2 linked regions of the Macaca fascicularis genome follow. The protein of the gene in region 1 purifies or fractionates together with the protein of each later gene. This does not show direct contact. Links are inferred from orthologs where the notes say so. Each region holds a gene or a part of one and is shown in the gene's direction. Other genes may lie near its edges.

What was found. Proteins that work in one complex are often made in the same cells at the same time.
Region 2: the proteins of BUD23 (region 1) and TRMT112 purify together in Homo sapiens (affinity purification with mass spectrometry; 5 studies listed by BioGRID and IntAct, counting the BioPlex papers as one, with this or other methods). This does not show direct contact. The link is inferred for Macaca fascicularis from reciprocal best matches to the Homo sapiens genes BUD23 and TRMT112.

The regions. Positions count from the first base shown.
Region 1 is NC_088377.1:52,562,753-52,566,252, forward strand, and holds part of BUD23 (18S rRNA (guanine-N(7))-methyltransferase), read left to right. Parts: intron 1-410; coding exon 411-507; intron 508-2,457; coding exon 2,458-2,508; intron 2,509-3,179; coding exon 3,180-3,265; intron 3,266-3,469; coding exon 3,470-3,500.
Region 2 is NC_088388.1:10,077,411-10,080,110, forward strand, and holds TRMT112 (multifunctional methyltransferase subunit TRM112-like protein), read left to right. Parts: upstream 1-1,332; 5' UTR 1,333-1,370; coding exon 1,371-1,448; intron 1,449-1,527; coding exon 1,528-1,629; intron 1,630-1,744; coding exon 1,745-1,834; intron 1,835-1,923; coding exon 1,924-2,031; 3' UTR 2,032-2,200; downstream 2,201-2,700. Other genes in the region: PRDX5 (peroxiredoxin-5, mitochondrial), read right to left, coding at 498-671. UniProt on the Homo sapiens protein: Acts as an activator of both rRNA/tRNA and protein methyltransferases. Together with methyltransferase BUD23, methylates the N(7) position of a guanine in 18S rRNA.

The DNA.
Region 1 (3,500 bases):
AGGTTGAGGAAAGGTTTCTGGGACTGACTGAGGGACATGAATGCTGTCCTTCTGTATGTCCTATTTTCCCAGTGTTGTAGAATCATGACCTGCAGTGGACCTGCACTTTTTTCTTTGTCTTTAAATTTTTAAACTTTAAAATACTTTTGAGTAGAGATGGGGTCTTGCTATGTTGTCCAGGCTGGTTTTGAACTCCTGGCCTCAGGCAATTTTGTCTTGGCCTCAGAAAATGCTGGGATTACAGGGCGTGAGCCACTGTACGTGGCCTGAACCTGCACTTTCTAAGAAGGGAAGCTGTGGGAGGAGGGGTTTCTCTTGGAGATCCAAGACGGATGATGTCGAGAAGCTTGAAGCGGTGAGGGGAGCAATGTGGATTGCTCCCTTGCCTGACTAGGTCCGTTCCTTTTTAGCATTTCTGCTGTGCAGTGGCTGTGTAATGCTAACAAGAAGTCTGAAAACCCTGCCAAGCGCCTGTACTGCTTTTTTGCTTCTCTTTTTTCTGTTCTCGTGAGTATAAGATCTTCTCCCCATCTGGGTTAGCTGCCTGTCCCTCCGTAGCCCTGCAGGTAGAGTGAGGAAATTGAGGTGTCCCATGATGGGAACGCTACTCATATGGGACCGCAGGACCTTACTGTGGTTGCTTCTGTCCAGGTTCTCAGCCTAAAGAAGTTCAAGCTCAGTGGACTGATATACGCTAATCAAACCCAGAAGTCACTGATGGCAAAATCGGAGACCAATTTAGTAACTTGTAATAGGGCCTACTTCTGTTGATTGGTATTCCTATGTCTATTACTCTGAGTTTTAATGAGAAGTTGGTTTGGGGATCAGAAGTTGGTTTGGGGGCATGGACTGAGCAGAGTGAGGACAAGAGCTGTCGTGTTGAGACCATCCAGAGGGGTACCTTCCAAAGTGCCCACATGCTTCTGACTCCTCACTTCTCCCTCCACCTGATTCTGATCCTTTTCCTCGGATGGGGAACAGGATAGTTATTTACCGCAGAGAGAGCCTCTATTAGCTTTATCTTGCCTTTTTAACTAATGATGTTAATTTCAGTTGTTCACTAGGATTAGATGATAGTCTGAGATTTTAGGTCCTAAAAATGAGTTCTTTTTAAATCTTACTTGTTTTTTGAGACAGACTTTTGCTCTGTTGCCTGGGATGGAGTGCAGTGGTATGATGGTAGCTCAGTGCGCCCTCGAAATCTTGGTCTCAGCTTCTCAAGTAGCTTGGGCTACAGGCACACACCACCATGCCAGGCTAATTTTTTACTTTCTTTTTTTTTAGAGATGGTGTCTAGCTATGTTGCCCAGGCTGGTGTTAAACTCCTGGCTTCAAGCAATCCTCCTGCATCAGCCTCCCAAAGTGATGGAATTATAGGTGTAAGCCACTGTGCCAGCTTAAAAATGAGTCCGTTTTGAAGGATCTGAGTGGTTTTTGCCTCCTTAGCCTGGTCCAGCCCACCCCTAGTTTTCCTGGGGTGGACTGCTCCTGCCGACGGCTGGCCGCTGGTCTTTCATGGAATGGACTCCTCCTGCTGATCTGGCCGCTGGTCTTTCATGGAGTGAACTCCTCCTGCCGATCTGGCCACTGGTCTTGCGTGGGGTGGACTGCCCCTGCCGATCTGGCCACTGGTCTTGTGTGGGGTGGACTGCCCCTGCCGATCTGGCCGCTGGTCTTTCATGGAGTGGACTCCTCCTGCCGATCTGGCCGCTGGTCTTTCATGGAGTGAACTCCTCCTGCCGATCTGGCCACTGGTCTTGCGTGGGGTGGACTGCCCCTGCCGATCTGGCCACTGGTCTTGCGTGGGGTGGACTGCCCCTGCCGTTCTGGCCGCTGGTCTTTCATGGAGTGGACTCCTCCTGCCGATCTGGCCGCTGGTCTTGTGTGGGGTGGACTGCCCCTGCCGCTCTGGCCGCTGGTCTTTCATGGAGTGGACTCCTCCTGCCGATCTGGCCGCTGGTCTTGCGTGGGGTGGACTGCCCCTGCCGATCTGGTCACTGGTCTTGTGTGTCATGAGAGTTTTCCTCCTGGCGTACTGGCTTAATTTTGTAGTTCCGAGGGCCTTTATGTTTCCTCTTCTCCCTGCTGGAAGGCTCTTCCCCTCTACGTTTAAACAGCCAGCTCCTCACTCCATTCAAATCTCTGCTCAAGTGTCCATCTGAAACAGACCTTTTGGAACCGAAAGTAAACTGAACCGAAAGGAAACTGTCACTTTGTCCAATTCCTCTTTTTGGAACAAAGGAAAAATTGCTACTGTGAATGAGTTGCCTCCCCTACTAAAATGTGAGCTCCAAAGTTCAGGTTGATCTCTTGTTCATGACTATCCCCAGCCCTAACAGAGGTGCCTCATCCATAATGGAAACTCAGGAAATACTCGGTGAATGAAGGAAGGGAGGGTGTCCAGGCCCTAAGCTGATGTGGTCATTTGTAAGACAGTGATGTTCCTGTTTCTTTCAGGTCCGGGGATCCCGAGCTGTCCTGCAGCTATACCCTGAGAACTCAGAGCAGGTGAGTCCCTTGGCTACTGGGTGTGCAGGGGAGCGGGGAGACTCAACAGGTAAGCTGTCCTGGGGAAGCGACAAAGAACCTTATGCAGATTGGCGGGAAAAGGAGAAAACATGCACCCTAGTGTGGCCCCTGATGGCACATTTGATGACCTGATATCCTAAGGGGGTGGCATTTGCGGAGGTGGGGTGGTATGTCTTCCCTTGGCAGATGACATGGTATTATAGATAAGATGATACGACTAATTTCCATAACCAAATAAGTGAATGCCATTTAGGAAGGGGGAGAGGGCACCGACAGTTGTCTGTTGTGTGATGTATAATTAAGGAATGGCGGAGCAGGATGTAGATGTTGAAAGATAAGTGAAGAGCTGTCCCTGACTAATAACATGAATGAGTCTGGCTTCCAATTGTGGCCATCTCCTTCCTAAACTTGAGTGGAGAGCTGGGTCCCTGTGCTGGAAAGTGAGAATGAGGGGAGTAGCTTTGTTCCGTAATTCTCCTGAGCGAGGTGTGGGCCATGCCTGCACTTTTCTCTACCTGGCTTACAGCGACCTTAAGTTCTCCCAGGCAGGATTCGTCCTGAGGCAGACTGGTTTCTGAAGGAGGGGAGGGAGGTAAAGCTGTCTGCTCCTCTCGCCTCCGCTGCATGACCCACTGCCTTTCTTTCTTCAGTTGGAGCTGATCACAACCCAGGCCACAAAGGCGGGCTTCTCCGGTGGCATGGTGGTGGACTACCCTAACAGTGCCAAAGCAAAGAAGTGAGCGCTGGGGGCTGGTGTGCTGCCTGGGCTGCAGGAGGGAGGGTAGTGGCATAGCCCTTTCAGGCCACTCAGTGGTACAGAGGAGTGTTGGGGTGTGGGTCACCAGGGTCCAGGCAGGCGGGGTGGGGAGACGGGCTGGTGAGAACTTGTCTCCCTATGGGGTTTCTCCACCAGTTCTCACGTTACACTTTCTCCTTTCAGATTCTACCTCTGCTTGTTTTCTGGGCCTTCG
Region 2 (2,700 bases), on another chromosome or scaffold:
GCTCACACCTGTAATCCTAGCACTTCGGGAGGCCGAGGCGGGCGGTTCACCTGAGGTCAGGAGTTCCAGACCAGTCTGAACAACAGGGTGAAACCCCGTCCGTCTCTACTAAAAATACAGTAGCCGGCCGTGGTGGCTCCCACCTGTAGTCCCACCTACTCAGGAGGCTGAGGCAGTAGAATCGCTTCAACCCGGGAGGCGGAGATTGCAGTAAGCAGAGATTGCGACACTGCACTCCAGCCTGGGCGACACAGAGGGACTCCATCTCAAAAAAAAAAAAAAAAAAGAAACAATGCCTCGGAACTGCCCCGGGAGGTGAGGTCCCCACGATTGGCGAGAAGGGTGGGCAGCCACGAGGGCCTTCTGAAGGGATGAGCGGGGCGGCCGGCGGGGAGGGGTCTGGCAGGCAGGAAATAAGGCGATATTCCCAGACCAGCGCGACGGGGGTTGGCATGGGGGTAGTGGGGGATGTCAGGCCCGGCCGGGCCAGCGGTCACCTTGATCGGGGCCATGGCTGCAGCGGTTCTGCTGAAACTGCGGACCCCGCCAGACGCCCACCCTCCTTCACTTCGCCGTCTTGCTGCTGCTGTCGCTGCCACAGACTGACCGGCGGCCCCACCGAGTATATAGCCCGCTGAGCGTCTCAGGACGCACACGCCGGCTAGTCCCATACCCGCCCTAAGACCACTTTCACTCCGCCCCCTAGCTGGGGCCACCGCAGCAGGCGGGGCACGGCTGGAGGCACTGCTGCGACACCCTGCGGAAGGCGGGCCTGGGCCGCCTCCACTGCGCAGGCGCGAGCGGCCACGCGTGTAACAGAGCTTCCGGGACCCTCGCCTCATTTGCCTTGGGGGCTAGCTGGACAGCAGACGCAATTACAAATTGGGCAGAGCTTTCGGCATTGGGGCAGCTAATTTGCATATAAGAATGAGGTGCCGCTCGGCTTCCACGGGTCTAATTTACAGATAGGGCAGTATTTCTGCCCCTTAGCCGAAAGCGGGGTACAGAAGACGACGGTGTTAGGCGCCTGTGTAGGAGTAAAACATGTTTATTTTGCATTCAACGAGAGCCCCTGCATTGCAGCTATTTTGCATATGATTTGCATGATACGACGGATTTGTGCAAAAAAAAAAAAAAAGCTGGGCGTGCGCTGTAGGAACCTCCTGCTGAGACGCTTCCGGTAGTGGCGCGTGACCCGACAGGTCTTTCACTTACCTAGCTCAGCTCCCGCAAGCACGAGAATTTCCAGTAAGTTCGCCACTTCCGGTTCTCCTGGCCAACCAATAGCATCGAGTGGAGCATCCCCGGAAGTGACGAAGCGGAGGACGCCCTCTTTCCGGTTCCGGCCTGACGAGAGCCTGTTCGGCGATATGAAACTGCTCACCCACAATCTGCTGAGCTCGCATGTGCGGGGGGTGGGGTCCCGTGGCTTCCCCCTGCGCCTCCAGGTACCACGGCGGGCTTCCCTTTTCGGGTGGGATGGTGGGCCAGGGTCCAGTGCTTGCCTAAACTCCTCCGCCCTGCCAGGCCACTGAGGTCCGTATCTGCCCTGTGGAGTTCAACCCCAACTTCGTGGCGCGTATGATACCTAAGGTGGAGTGGGCGGCGTTCCTGGAAGCGGCCGATAATGTGAGGATCCTTACCCCGCCCGAGCATATCCCGGGGAGTGCGGGGCGGGCACACCTCAGCCGGGCTGAGGCGGGAGTTCGGGATGCCCGGAGATAATTTCGCCTCTTGCCCACAGTTGCGCCTGATCCAGGTGCCTAAAGGGCCGGTTGAGGGATATGAGGAGAATGAAGAGTTTCTGAGGACTATGCACCATCTGCTGCTGGAGGTGAGAAGCGGCCCATCACTTGCTTCCTGGGCCACCTGCCTCCCTCACTGAGGCCGCCAGTGCTCAGCTCTGTCCCTCCCCGCCCGCAGGTGGAAGTGATAGAGGGCACCCTGCAGTGCCCGGAGTCTGGACGTATGTTCCCCATCAGCCGCGGGATCCCCAACATGCTGCTGAGTGAAGAGGAAACTGAGAGTTGATTGTGCCAGGCGCCAGTTTTTCTTGTTATGACTAATGTTTTTGTTGATGTATACCGTTTCCAAATTCTGCCGTGTATATCCCCAACCCTTGACCCAATGACACCAAACACACAGTGTTCTTGAGCTCGACATTATATATTTTTTTCTCATTAAAGGTTCAAAACCAAAAGCGGTTTCTCTTTGCAGCAAATATACATTAAAATAGAGTCTCTGTACAGCCAAGGGCTCTGGGCCCTGGCTTGCCCCATGTCCCTGCGCCTCCCTGGCCAAACCCAAAAATAAATATAGTGTTATTGCTCTGCAGGGCATAGAGGCAGTGCTCTCCTACCCCCTGAGGAGGCTGGATGGGAGCTGATGGGGAAGCTCTGGCCACCCCAGGGGTCCAGGGGCTGGAGCCTGCTTGGAGTTATTGCTTCAAGGGGGGGCACTAATGCCCAATGCAAATGATGAGAGGAGGAGCGAAGGGGTATGGGCCTTTGCTCTCCAAGTCCCACTCTGCTCTGAAGAGGGGGTAGGATTAAGCAGCAGCAAAAGCATCACCCACTGGGAGACTGTGGCCTCCATCCCCTTCCCTCCCTGAGATAGGCTTCTGCCTCCCACACATCCCCTGCAGCCCCCTATGGCTTCCGCAAGGCCCCCTACACTCTGGGGGCACGTTATGGCTTGCAA